Linked DNA regions of Pelodiscus sinensis. The protein of the gene in region 1 purifies or fractionates together with the protein of each later gene. This does not show direct contact. Links are inferred from orthologs where the notes say so. Each region holds a gene or a part of one and is shown in the gene's direction. Other genes may lie near its edges.

Region 1 (7,192 bases):
AATGCAGGGAGCACTTGCAAAGTTGTGTTCCATAACATACATTGGAGTGGACTGTGGGCCCTATCTTTGAGACTGGATGTTTGGTGTTCAGAGAAGTTAAGATAGAAAGACCATAAAGATGGCTGTAAGTCTGATCCTCAGGTTACCAGTCAGGTCCCAAGAAATATATTGAATTGTAGGAACTGAAATTATCCAACAGGGACCATTCCAGCAGTTGGGGATTATTAGTGTGTAGAAGTACTGCAGTCATGCTACTTTCCCTAAGCAATAGCTCCTACACTGGAACTAACTGTGCAGCCTAATTCCCAAATACCAGTTAAGCTGGATCAAAGTTTGCTTCATGCCACAAAAGTTAATATCACAATAACTAACATTTTTAACAGTAGTTTCAATTCATCACATTCAAAAAGCTCCATGACATTTTCCCTTTCAACCCCAGAGCAGTGAGGCTGGAGTTGATAGCCAACAAGGCTCCCATAGCTCTTAGCCAGTGCAGGTGGCGAGATCCCCTCAGAGCTCCCACCCGCCAACCCTGGAGTTCCCAGCTGCTGTGGCGAGGGAAGTTCAATGCACTCAACCCCCAGAGGTATCAGAGGCATACCAGAGACACAGCAGCAGTGGGTGCTGGACCCCTCCTCCCCATTTTGTTAGTTACTTTTAATAAAAGTTAGAGACTGATCACAAGCTTCTGTGAATTTTTGCTTATTGTCTGTAGCCTGTCCATGAATTTTACTAAAAATTACTGTGACACAACTTCAGCTTTACTGTTTAGAAGTAGCTTCAGAGTGGTAGCAGAGTTAGTCTGTAACTAGAAAAACTTAAAAACAATTAATAGTCTTGTAACAACTTAAAGACTAACAAAACATGTAGATGGTTTCATAAGCTTTCGTGGGAACAACCCTCTTCAGATGACTGGAGTATTAAAAGTCCAGATCCAAGAATAAATAAGGGAAAGAGGGAGGGAGAAAGACAATGAATAGATTATTCAAGTTACAAGAGGCTGATAAGAACAATTAGCACCTCTGTTGTTTGGCTGATTAAGTCGTTAGGATGTAGAAGGTAGTGTGCAAGCCAGCCAGTTCATTCCATTCTGACAAGAATCAAACTTGTAAATGAAGTTAAGTTCTAACCATTCCCTGTGTATTTGGCTTGTGGAATTGGCCTGAAACAACACAGTGACTTGGAACTCCATTAATGGACTTTTAATACTCCAGTCATCTGAAGAAGTGGGTTGTGCCCACGAAAGCTCATGATACCATCTACGGCTACACTTCAGGCTTTTTGCGCAAAAACTTGCAGAGCGTGTACACTGCAAGCATGTTCTTGTGCAAGTACATTTCCAGTAAAGCATCAGAAAAGAGGGATTCCTGTGCAAGTGTTATTCCTCTCCCCACGAGGAATAAGCCCTTTTGTGCAAGAGCTCTTGCGCAAGAAGGCAGTGTGGACCGGCAACAGGGGTTTCTTGCGCACGAAACCCCTATGGCTAAAATGGCCATCAGAGCTTTTTTGAGCAAGAAAGCATCCACCCCACCATGGACGCTCTTGAGCAAAAGCACAGCTCTTGCGCAAAAGCATATGGTAGTATGGATGCACTCTTGTGCAAGCAGCCTGCAGTGTAGACATAGCCTACATGTTTTGTTAGTCTTTAAGGTGCTACTAATCGTTGTTTTAAGTTTTTCTGTTCACAAGTACTCATTGGTATCACTAGACTCTGTTTATAGTGACTTTTCTCTTAAGATATGTGTGCACTAGTATGTAGGGAACATTTAGAATCCAAGACACTATTTTCATTATGAAAAGTACATCACAAAGTAATAGATCGAAACCTCAGAATCCCAGAGACCCCAAAAAGCCTTATAACAGCCTATAGAATTCACAGTACTGACACAATGCCTCTGGTTGGCCAATGGCGTGAACTTATGTTGTTCTTCGGCTACATTTTCGGATACCATCATCCTTTCTCCCTACCTGCTTGGGAGATGCTCCCGGTAAACTTCCACCAAGCCACCTCATTATCCACCTTCAAATTTTGTTGTGATGCCCACATAAAACTTGAAAATGATTTGACTACTAATGTGCAGGTGACCAGCCTATCATGCTGGCCAGTATTGTCTCACTGTTCCTGTTACTCCCCCCACCCATGTCTATATTCATCCATAATCTCATTTTATATGTAGACCAGTGATACTCAGAGATTCAGGAGCCAAATTAATGATTAACATTACTCACTAGTATGAATTCATTGTTTTATATACATTAACATATGTACATGAATATATGTACATTACTGTCACCGTAAGAAGACTGACCATGTATTATTTTATCAATTACAATTGGTTAATAACATAGCATCCTGATTGGTTAACTTAAACTGGTTGTTAATTTAAATTACATAGCGTTTTTATATCATGTGCTGCAACACAGGTGAGTAGAGAGAAGGAACACAAAAGGGGACACCAGCTCCACACAATGTGACTCTTCCACACACAACTCGTCCAGGACCCACATAATCCCATTCGTACCCCATCCCATGTTACCTGAGGCAGGGAGAGTGTCTATCCTGCTACACTGCATTGCCCAGCAAGCAGGGTCCCAGACAACATGGCCGGAGGCTGCCTGGAAGAGTGCAGTTGCTCTGATGCCTCCCCTCCCTGTGCTGCAGTGCACTGGGTAGCATCCCAGGCAGTGTGGCTGGAAGCCACCTGGGACTCAGGAGAGAGTACCTGCTGCCTGGCTCCCTCCACGCTCCCTCCCATTACCTGGTGAGTGAGGGGGGCTCTGTCCCTCTGATGCCGCACTATGTTGAGCAGCATCTCCTCTTCCTGTCAGAGTGCAGCATCTGAGCAGCGTAGCCAAAAGAGCCCCTTGCCTGGCTCCCACAGCATGGGGGGAGGGCATGTGACACTTCCTGCCCCCCATGCATTACTCTTAGCTGCAAAGAGTGACAGAGGACACTTTAAGAGCCACTCTCAAGTGTCCAGTCTGAGTATCACTGATGGAGACCGTGACTCCTGGGGGCCCGGGACTGTCTTTTTAGTCTGCTTTGCAAATGGCCTAACACTCAGAGATACTGGTCTATGACTAAAGTTCCTAGTGCTAGAATAAAACAAATCATTAATAATTTGAACATGGAAATAAGGGAAATTCTTCCCATCTCTGCTTCCTACACAAATTCTGTTCCTTGTTTCCAAATTGACAATCATTTCCTAGCTACAGAATATTTTTCCAAATCGCTTCTATTTTTCGTTGTCCCAGTCTTACAGTGCACTCTTTGCTTTGGCCCCTTAAACCTGGACTTTTCTTTGGTGTCCTCCTTGTGACCCATGATGCTAAGGTCCCAGTAGACCAGAACTGTGGGGGTAATGCTCCATTTTGGGTGCTGTAGCCCTGTAGCTCCTATGTAGGGAACTCTATGGTCCTGTGCTTCCTCCCAGAAAGAGGCCCTAAAGTGCCATACGGTTTAGTGCCCCTGTTCTTTCCGGGGCCTCTCTTTGAGGTAACTATCTGTCACGCCTTTCCACCCCTATGCTTTGGTGCCCCTATTATTTTGGTGCTGTGACCCACGATACAAGGTGCTGCCCTGTGTCCCTCAGTCGTCGTCCCCCACCCGCTTCCACGTACCTTGTCCTGGGCTCCCTCCCCATGTCATAGTGCCCTGCTCCCCGCCCTCCTGTCCATAGGAGCTCCCCTGCAGTTGTCAAGGTGCTGTCGCCCCACCCTCTGAAGAGCCCCACCCCGTATGGGCAATAGGCGACTGCTGCCTGTGAGGGAGGGGTAGCGACCGAGAGGAACAGGGAGGGGCCATGAGGAGTCATCCCATTTGGCAATTGCAATTTTAACAGAGGCACAGGGGGCCATGCGCCTCCCGGGTGCAACCAGGCGTAACCCGTATGCCGCCCCCTAATGTGGTGCCCTGAGCTCCCCTCCCGCTGGCGTAGCGCTGTCCGCCCCCATCCCGTGCCCCACTGTCCTTGAGCCTCGCGCAGAGCCAGAAGCTTCTAGACCTGGCCAGCCGCCCGAGTCAGGCCTTGTGTTGAAAGCGGTCGCCATGGTAGCAGCCTCGCCACGCCGCCCTGCCCCCGCCGGTCCCCGCCCTATGGGGAGGCAGCCGAGGCCGGGGACAGCCAATGGGGAGTGAGCGGCGCATCGCGGGAGCTTGGTGGGCGGAGGAAAAGAGCCGCCGTTGGGAGCCGGCGGGCTCTCGGGCGCTGCCACAGCGAGTCGACTGAGAGGTAGCGGCGCTGCCATGTTCGGGAACAGGGGCCTGAGGGAGCTCTTCGAGGAAGACCCCTTCTTCCGGTGAGTGGGCAGCGAGTGCTGCGTGCCTGGGCGGCGGGCGGGGCGCTCGGAGTCGGCCGGGCTGTCCCCGGGGCGGGGAGAAGGGGCTCGCTGCTGCACCGCCGGAGGCTTGGGGGGGCTGCACCCGGCAGGCTGGTGCGTGCGGCTGTCTGCCTTGACTGGCTAGCCCGTGGCGCGCCGAGGTGACCTGCGGGTGAGGAGCCCGAATCAGCCGCCTGAGCGAAGCTGGTGAAAGCAGAAAGCCGATAAAGGTGCTTAGCTGTGAGCGTCCTCGCCTGTCCCGGGAGCCTGTCACCTGCGCAGGGACCCTCCCAGGGAAGCCTTTGAGTCCGGGGCTTAGGCTGCAGCTCCGCCCACAGCGCCTCTAGCCTAGCCGTGGTGGGAGTGGGCTGGTATGGTTATCCTCGTGTTCTGGGGAGCTGTCGGTGGGGGTGGTCAGACCCAACTCTGCAAACTCTATGAAGCATTCAGTAGCTGCCCTCCGCATGGCAAAGTGTGGCATCTCGTGGCCGTGTTTAAAGTCTCTTCCGTTGCGTGTGTGTTTCTATATCAAGTTTTCTTGGTTTACACTATGTTCCAACAAACATTGGGTTACGGCGTCTCTTTAATTTCTAAGAGATGACAAGTAAGGAATGCATGAATTGATTTACAGAACCATCACACTAGTGCCTTTTTTTTGTCTCTGCTTCTCCACTTGTCCCAATCAAAGCTACCTATGAACAATTCAGTGTTATGTGATAGGTATTATTACATCCTAGTTAGTGAAATGCCATATCTGAGGTAACTCAGCCAATCCTCCTACTCTCTCAGTATTGCACAATTCATTTGTATATTGCAGTCTTATTAGATAAAATATCCTAATATTAATTTAAATACCTTTATGGCTTCTTAACTACAGAAAATGTTGCCTGATATTTCAACAGAAGTGCAAAGATAACACACTACAACTTGTAGAGTTTGATTGTGAAACTTAAATATTTGCAAAGCCCTAATAGACAATGCACCAGAGCCCAGGTATTATGAAAAATTTGCTATGTTTCTATATATTATTTACTCTAACTACAGAAAATTTTTAGTTAGGGTCACAATCTGAGATGCTTGTGCATCAGTAAGAACAGAAGAATAGCCATACTGGGTTAGACCAGTGGTCTATCTAGCCCAGTATCCTGGTTTCTGACAGTGACTGGTGCCAGATGCTACAGAAAGTGTTAACTCAGTTGAAGCAAAATGCAGGACAATGTAGCACTTTAAAGACTAACAAGATGGTTTATTAGATGATGAGCTTTCGTGGGCCAGACCCACTTCCTCAGATCAAAAGTGGGTCTGGCCCACGAAAGCTCATCATCTAATAAACCGTCTTGTTAGTCTTTAAAGTGCTACATTGTCCTGCATTTTGCTTCAACTACCCCAGACTAACACGGCTACATTTCTATCACTTAACTCAGTTGGGCAGTTTTATCAGGTGAGCCCAACCCTGTTCTAGCAGTTACTTTAGGGACAGTCAGCAGTGGATTGCATCCTTGACTGTGTTGGCTATCCTTCATTAAGTTATCTGATTGTTTTTTGAAACCACTTGTATTTTTGGCCATCACAGCATCCTCTGATAACTAGTTCCACAAGTTGACTGTGCATTGTGTGAAGAAGTACTTCTGTTTGTTTTAAACCTGATCCTTATTAATTTTATTGGGTGAACCTTGCCTTGTGTGTTATGTGAAGAAGTAAATAACTCTCCTTTATTCACTTTCTCCCTACCATTAATGATTTTATAGACTTCTATCATTGTTCTTTTTAATTGTCACTCTTCTGATCTAAGCAGCCAGTGTCTTTAATTTCTTCTCATATGGAAACTGATCCATACTCCTAGTAAATTTTGTTGCCTTTCTTTATACTCTTTTCACTTCTAATATATCTTTGCAGTATTCAAGGTGGGGGCATACCATGCATTTTATTTAGTGTGTTTATATTTTGTTTTATTCCCTTTCCTATTGGTTTCTAACTTTGTTCGGTTTTTTTGTACTGATTCTGCACATTGAACAGCTGTTTTCAGAGAACTATTCACCATGACTCTACATTTTGTCTGTACATTATTTTGGGATTATTTCTTCCATTGTGCATTGTGTTGAGTTTGTCACGATTGAATTTCATCTGCCTCTTTCTTGCCTACTCACCCAGTTTTGTGAGATCCCTTTGTAACTCTTCGCAGTCTTTGGACTCAACTAAACAGAGGAAGAAGGAGAGGGGGGGAGAGAGAGATTTGGAACTATGAGACACACCAAAACAATCCAAATCATTTCACTCCATGCAATTTTTCTTTTCCTCCTTCTCTGCCCCACTCTTTCATGTCTCTGCTAGATTATAAACTGTAATCTCTGTAGAATAGGTACCATGTCTTTGTACAATGATTATGGCTTTGTGTACACTTAAAAGTTTAGAGCACAGCTGCAGCAGCTTTCTCCCAGTGCTCTGTGTAAACCATCTCCACGAGGGGAGTAGCTAACAGTCTGGTTTACCCTGGGGCTTTACAGTGCTGTAACTTGCTCTCTTTGGGGTAGAAGTGGTCCAGACAATTAATTACAGAAAATTACAGTTTTGTAAAATACCAGTATAATTTAGCCTAACGCAAACATCCATTGATGGTGCTGTGTAAAATAATATTTACTGCTATCTGTGGAGGCTTCCAGTAGCAAATTCATACCACCCCGGTGCTTGTGGAGATTACTCTTTTCCTTGGATTTTTTTTATGTAACACTCCCCCCGCCCCCTCCCCCAGTTATACAAGACAGGAAAGGCTATATTTGAACATTCATCATATCAGCTGTCTCCGTTCTCTGCTTCAGTGATTGCCTACTACATGGAAATATCTGTATTTAATGATAGGAAAATTCAGAGATGT
Region 2 (7,344 bases), on another chromosome or scaffold:
GGCCACTCCTCTAGGTCATTCCCCATCAGCACCTCGTGGGCAAGTGCGGGTGCACCCCCACTTCCTTGAGGCCTTCCTTTGGCCCCCATTTCAGATGCACCCGGGCTACAGGCACCTTAAACGGGGACCCATCTATGCCCTTCAGGGTCAGCGGGGTGTGGGGTAGTATCCGCTCTGGGGCCACTATGTCGGATCGGGCCAGAGTCACCTCCGCCCCCGTGTCCCAGAAGCCCGTCACCTTCCTACCATCCACCTCCAGGGGTATGAGGCACTCGCTCCGCAGGGGCCGTCCTGCCCCCACCCGGTACACGGAGAAATCCGCCTCCTGAGAATCAGACCTCCCAGGGGAGGTGCACTGAGCATCCTTCCCCTCTCTCTGAGCTGAGGTTTGCCTGCCAGCCCCTGCCTCTGGGGCAGCCTGCCCTTCCTCCCGCCCCAGCCAGTTAACCCTGGAAAGTCCCCGGTCCTGGGACCTGGTGCACTGAGCCCTCTTGTGGCCTTTTTGCCCACAGCGATGGCAAGTTAGGCTTTGGGCTGTCTCTGTCCAGGCCCTGGCTGGCTCTCTGGGGCACAGACGACCTGTTCCTTGGTCTCGCCCCGTAGTTGACTCCCTCGGTCGCTCAGCCGAGATCCGGTCTCTGCGCGGTTCCCTTTCTCTCCGGGACTCCCGTTCACACCCGGACTGGCTCTCCGTGAACTCATCCGCCAGCCTCCCAGCCTCCTGGGGGTTCTCTGGAATCTGGTCCTTGAGCCACAGCCTCAGTTTGGGTGGGCACGCTTCATAGAACTGCTCCATCAGGACCAGCTTGAGCAGCTCCTCTGCGGTCTGGGCTCCGACTCCAGACACCCACTTGCGGCCGTATTGCGACAGGCGGGAGGCCAGATCCACATAGGTCTCCCGTGGCCCTTTCTGTACCCCCCGGAACTTCTTCCTGTACATCTCGGGGGTCAGCCCGAACTTGTGCAGCAGGGCCTCCTTGACTCGGCTGTAATCCCCTGGCTGTAGGTCCTCCAGCTGACTGAGCACTCCGGCTGCCTCCTGGTTCAGTGCGGGGATGAGCTCCTGCAGCCAGTCAGCTGGGGAAACCCGTTGCAGTCCACAGGCCCTCTCAAAGGAGCTGAGGAACCCGTCTGTCGCCCATGTCCTTCAATTGGGCCACCACGAGCCTCTCCAAGCGTCTGGCAGTCCCGGGACCCTGGGGCCCATCGGCACTTGGCACAGCCGGTGCCCCGCCGGTTCTCCGCTCTGCCATGGCCAGCTCATGCTGTCGCTACCTCTCTCGGTCCTGGCGGTCCCTCTCTCGGTCCTCTACTTCCAATTCCTTGATCCGCAGCTGGATCTCCAGCCGCTGCAGCTCCGCTGGGCTGGCCCCTGCCCTAGATGGGCTACGGCTTGCAGGCCTCCTGGGAGATGCTGTCTCATCTCTCCGGTGGGTTCCAGCGCTCCTCCCCCTCTCTGAGCCTGACACACTCTCAGGGGGGGTCTGGCTGCTTCCCCTGAGGACAAGATCCTGGCCCTGTGGCTGGTCATTCTCTTCCAGCTGGGCAATCAGCTGGGCCTTGGTTGCTTTCTGCACAGGCAAGCCCCTCTCTCTGCACAGCCCCACCAGCAAAGGAAATTGCAGGCATTGAAATTAAAAGCGCAACAGTTCAATCCCATGGCTTCACTTATCAGAAGGGTGGTAACAAATAAAGAACCTGACCAAGATGACCCACAACTAGAAAGGGAGATAAGGCAAAACATTACTGAGATTTCCAGATCAGGTATGGGCATCTGGTCAGTTATGGAGACCCCTAGAAAGAGACACGTCTGGATTGGATGGTGAAGGTGATATCGCGAACTGTCAGAAGGTCAACATATTACAAGGTTTTAGCCCAGGCCTGTGCTAGTGCTTCTGACTAGGCAGTAATACGCAGTACTAGAGGAAGGTTAGATGGAACAGCATTGTTGCTACTGGCTGGGACTGGGTGAAGGAAGTAATGAAGGCAGTGATGTCGGAATAATTCCCGCAGTTGTCGGCTATGTAACAGAATAGAGCCCTGGTGACTTCCCAGAATTGTATGTTATTAAAAAGGAGATTCTGGCTATGGCTGTTGGGTTTGTGCCTGTGGTACTCAAAACTGCCCCGATTTCAATATATTGGCTCTTAAAGTGTCATTGTTAGATTATTTGTATTAAAAAAATGAAAGTGATTTTAGGACCTGTGGATTCAGACAGGGTATACCTGGAATTGAAACAGTAGTTTTTCATGTAGCCCTTCTGCTGGTAGCAGTCGGTAGCCAGGACTGGGTTCAGTATCTAGAGAAGTTCTTTCAACAAGATAACCAAAATGACTTGAGTCCCCACCCGGTAAACTGGGAAAATTCCAACCTATTCACTGGTCGTCTTTAGAGGCACTTCTTCCCCTCTTGCAAACACTGAGTCAGAAATAGCAACAGTCTGTTTAATAACAGTAATCTCGCATCAACCTACAGGTACACACATAAAAAAAGAAAACCCGTAATCAAGATCCCATCCCCAGAGTCTGCAGGGAACAGTCTTCTGCTTAAAGGTCTTTAGTTCATCCCCCAACTCATAGTGTGTTCCCCCCACCCCTTCAAATATCCCACTCATGGCTCTGTCCAGTCAGTGCAGACCCAGAGTCTGCACAGTGGTACATCATCCTGATATCTCCATTCATTAAGCATGTGGCAATGCCACCTCTGTGCTGTTCCCGCCAGCCACTCCACTGGCCACCTGCCACTGCTCCCCCTGGCCACCTCCCTTGCTAGCCAGCCTTGGGATGGATTTGGGCTTTAGGCCAAACCTAGTGATTTCAGCTCTCTGTGATGCCAGCTTTTCAGTGATTTCAGCCCACAGCACAGTCCACTCAAAAGATTTCAGCATCCACTAGAATAACATTTTAAAATAATACAGAGACTCTTTATGGAGTCAAGTATCAGAGGAGTAGCCGTGTTAGTCTGAAGCTGTAAAAGCGGCGAGGAGTCCTGTGGCACCTTATAGAGTAACTGAAGTGTTGAGCATAAGCTTTTGTGGGCAAAGACCCACTTCGTCAGATGCATGTAGTGGAAATTTCCAGAGGCAGGTATAAATATGCAGGCCAGAATCAGGCTGGAGATGACAAGGTGGATCCAATCAGGGAGGATGAGGCCCATTTCTAGTAGCTGATCTAGTAGCTGATCTGTGAATTCCAAGAGAGGAAAAGCTGCTTTTGTAGTTAGCAAGCCATTCACAGTCTTTGTTTAATCCAGAGTTGATTGTGTCAAACTTGAAGATGAACTGTAGCTCAGCAGTTTCTCTTTGAAGTCTGGTCCTGACGTTTTTTTGCTGTAGGATGGCTACCTTTAGATCTGCAGTTGTGTGTTCAGGGAGATTGAAGTGTTCCCCTAGAGGTTTTTGTATGTTGCCATTCCTAATATCTGATTTGTGGCCATTGATGCTTTTATGTAGGAACTGTCCGGTTTGGCCAATGTATATGGCAGTGGGGCATTGTTGGCACACGTTAGAGGAAGAAATGGATATGAATATGGGTATCAGATGCAGATATGGGTATCCATTTGGTTAAAGGTGTTAGAGGGACATTGAGAGCAGAAGCATGGAGGAAATTCGTGCTGGAGGAACCAAAAAAAGAAATGAAATGGGAAGCTCACAAGCGAGTTACGGCAGAGGGCTGCCCCTTACAGAGGCAAGAGGAACTGACAATGCTCCTGTAACTCCCACAATGGACCCGGACCCCAAATGCTCGGAAGTAGTGGCCCAACTACATCATGACAAATGGGGGGGGGGTCCCCTCTGTAGGCAATAAGGGGCAGATTGGGGGAACCACCCTGCCCCATGAATTATGCTCAGTGCCTCTGGCGCATCAATGCCCCGCTGGGAGGACAGCGGCGGCCCGGGGCGCTGTGCAAACACCGCTAGTTCCACCTGCCGGGGAGACAACGGAAGCTTTTATCGCCAGAGCGGCCCTGCCCGCAGGGAACGAGGCGTCACGCGCTCGAAGTCGCCCGGCAGCAAGTGCCTTCCCCGACGGGGGAGCGCGCGGGGCAGAACAGCGACAGCGCCGCTATCGGACAAAGCCCCAAGTGCTGGGCCGCCCGTGAAACCAGGGCACCGGCTCACCCGAGCGGGGCCTGTGACGCGCGCGGAGACGGGCCCTCACGGCCTCGGCCCCGCCTGGGCTCCCGCGCCGGTCAAGTCTCCCGCGCCACAACTCAGCCGCCAGGCGCGCTGCCTGCGGCCAGCAGATGGCGCCACCGCTCGTTCGCTCGCTCTCCCGGCGCCGCCCTCTCCCCCGCGCTTCCGCCGCCAGGGGAGAGGGAGAGACCGTTCCAGAAACGTCCGGAAATAGAGGGCGTTAGCGGAAGTGACGTTTCGGCGTGCGACGCAATTTCTGTTTGTGCGTGGCCGGCCGACGCTTTTGTAATCGCTGCTGCTGTTCGGGGAGAAGGGAGCGCAGCGGCCGTGCAGGGTGAGCCAGAGGCTCGTCGGGGATCGGGCATTGAGGGGGCGGCGGTACCGTGCTGGCGGGGGCCGGGGTTCCGTCGGGTCTGGGGGGGGCGGAATGTGAGGCCGGCTCTCGCCCCCAGCAACCGTGTTGTTGGTAATGCAGCTCCTCGCTCCCCCCCCCCCCCCGCTGGTGGCGCAGAGCTGGGGCTGACGGAGCGCGGAAGGGCGGGCGGGGGTGGGGGAGCGGAGGCTGCTGCCCGGGCCCTCGCCCGCTGTGGGGGCGCTGCGGGACGCCGGGGGTGGCGCTTAGCTCTGGCCCGCGTTCGGGGCTGAGTCGGCGGCGGTGGGAAGGGAACGGGTGCAGCGCTGGGCTTCCTGCTTTGGGGACGGCGGCGAGCGAGGCAGGGCCCTGGCGGCTCGATTATCGTGACCGGCCGCTGGGCGTCCTGGAGATGCGCCGCGGCTCTGAGCAAAGGAAATGGCTCGTGTTTGATCCCTCGCAACGAGGCCAAGTCAGATGGCTCCGAGCGATCAAACGCTGCTGGGGAGATGCGGGAGGGGCGAGAGAGCTTAGAAAACTCCCAGCGCGCTCTAACGTTGTGAAAACTACTGTGCAGCCTTCTCTTTACTGTGACTTTGCTGCAAGCTTATGATGGGTGATGATGGCCCGTAGTAGTGTGTTTTTACAAAAGCAAGCAAGGAAAGCAGCTACTGCACTACATGCCAATTCCGGGGTCCTGCATTAGCTGCTGTTTACAGTAAAACTTTCATGCGCTGTGAGTTTCTTCCAGCCCAGTGTGTTGTGTGCAAAGGTGAGGGGCTTTTGGATGTTGTGAATGTGAAATTGCCAGGTTTCACACAGACAATATTCCCTGTGAAGGGGAAGTAGGTAGTTCATGTCACTGCTGCATGCAGGACTTCTGAGATGACAGTGAGTGGGGAAGTGGAGTCTCTGGTCATCTTGCTGGTTATAACACTTAAAACTAGTTTCAGTTTGGTCACTGATAATGTAGTTTGAAGTTGACTTGTCTGCAAGCTGGTTTCCTCTTTGAGGCCAGAAGAACTTGTTCCCAAGGTATTAGGATCCTTGAAGCCATTTCTCAATATGTTTTAACTAGTAACACTAAATGGTAGATACCTACAGTAGTGTATTAGTAGCAGAGCATTGTTTTAACTGGACCAAGATGAAAGTTATAGAAGCTAAACTTGTGTAATAAGGTTTTAAATGCACATGGTCAAGCTTGTGATCTGGCATAGTAGGTCTGTTGTCTGTCTTGTGGATAGAATGTCGGGGGGGGGCATGTCGGACACATTTTTTGACTTGTATGAGTGATTGGAATGGCTTTGGGCTCTGTTAGATTTCTATGTTCTGATTATATGGTCCTTTAGCAAAGTGTATTGCTGAGGAGTGAATAATCATATTGGGTTGGATTTTTGCTCCATTTTGGGGGTGTAAGTTATGTAACTCTAGTTACAAAAGGTGTTTGTCTCCAGGTTGGGAGGTAACATAACTGCCAAGTTCCTATGTTAGCTTACTGGGCCAACTAAATTGTCTGCTGAAGTCTGTATACAATAGGGATGTAAAATCATGTTGAATTGATTAACCGGTTAATTCTATTGTTTAACTAGTTAGCGGATTGAAGAGGGTGGTTGGGCTGCCACCAACAGAGCTGTTCTGGCAGGGATGTTGGAGCAGCCCTGTTTGCAGTGGTTCCCCCTTGGTGCTGGTGCAGTTGCCTTCCCACAGCAAGAGGAGAGCTTCTCTCGCCCCCACTAGTTAAAGATTCACATTTCAGTGTACACTGATTTACTAATCTTATTGCTAGGATCCTTGTGACTTTCAGAAATCTGCAGAATAAAAAATTAACAATTTACTTAAACTTTGGTTGTATAGATAATATTTGAGAGCCCCTGTTAGCTCTGACTATAACCACAGAGTCCTTCTTATCAGATGTTTACATCATTTTGTTTTCAATTCTCTTTTCAATTTTTGTATCTGAATTCAGCTTTGTTGTAGCTGATGTCATGGTCCCCTGTTTTGTGTCAAGAAAATCATCAACATCCAGTGAAAACACAAATATCTTGAAATCTAGACATCAGAACAACAGGGATCTTTCACTTCCTGTTGCTTAACAAGTTGCAGTAAAGTCAAAATTTCATAAAATAGTATTATACAGCATTCTACAAGTTGAACCTTTCATCTGGTATTTTCTGGTCTGGTATGATTTTGGTCGGATGTCCACTTATGTGTGTGGCCAAGTTTCCCATGGTCCCATCAAGTTTGTTTATAGCCACCAGTCCTGTCTCACTATCCTGTGCTGCTGTTCAGCTCCAATTTATCCCTAAATGTCACCTACCATCCCAGTAAGTAGAAGTGCTGGTAATGCTGCTAGACAATATTGACCTTCTGTGGTCTGGAAGATTGTCTGGTTCAGCACTGGTCGGGTCCAGAGGGTGCTGGAGTAGAAAGGTTAAATCTGTATTAAAAGATCTTGCTCTGATAGCCTAAGTGACTGCAAGATTGATTTTTCTCCTGGCTCCCTGCAAAACGGCGGAGGGTTCACCCCTTGCTGCGCCATTCCCTGCTGACCCCTTCGTAAGATTCTCCAGAAGATTTTATCAAACAGTGACCCATTAGAAAAAACCTCAGGTTTTTTTTTTAAAACTTTGGAAAAAAATCTTAATTTAAAAACATTTTAGTGTCATAAATAGAGAAATTCCCACTTGCATTTGGGATGTAAGGGACTAGTTGACTATCTGATAAGCAAAAGCTTATTGGATAGTCATCTAGTGCTTTGACTATTTGCGGCCCCCCCATTAAAGGCAGCAAGGGGGGGGGAGGGAGAGCAGGTGCCAGTGCTGGGAGGAACTGGCTTAAAAGCCGGTTATCCCCCCCC

What was found. Proteins that work in one complex are often made in the same cells at the same time.
Region 2: the proteins of MLF1 (region 1) and DNAJB6 purify together in Homo sapiens (affinity purification with mass spectrometry; 3 studies listed by BioGRID and IntAct, counting the BioPlex papers as one, with this or other methods). This does not show direct contact. The link is inferred for Pelodiscus sinensis from reciprocal best matches to the Homo sapiens genes MLF1 and DNAJB6.

The regions. Positions count from the first base shown.
Region 1 is NC_134720.1:31,525,092-31,532,283, forward strand, and holds the start of MLF1 (myeloid leukemia factor 1), read left to right. Parts: upstream 1-4,127; 5' UTR 4,128-4,246; coding exon 4,247-4,299; intron 4,300-7,192. UniProt on the Homo sapiens protein: Involved in lineage commitment of primary hemopoietic progenitors by restricting erythroid formation and enhancing myeloid formation.
Region 2 is NC_134712.1:239,889,165-239,896,508, reverse strand, and holds the start of DNAJB6 (dnaJ homolog subfamily B member 6), read left to right. Parts: upstream 1-4,336; 5' UTR 4,337-4,469; intron 4,470-7,344. UniProt on the Homo sapiens protein: Has a stimulatory effect on the ATPase activity of HSP70 in a dose-dependent and time-dependent manner and hence acts as a co-chaperone of HSP70. Plays an indispensable role in the organization of KRT8/KRT18 filaments.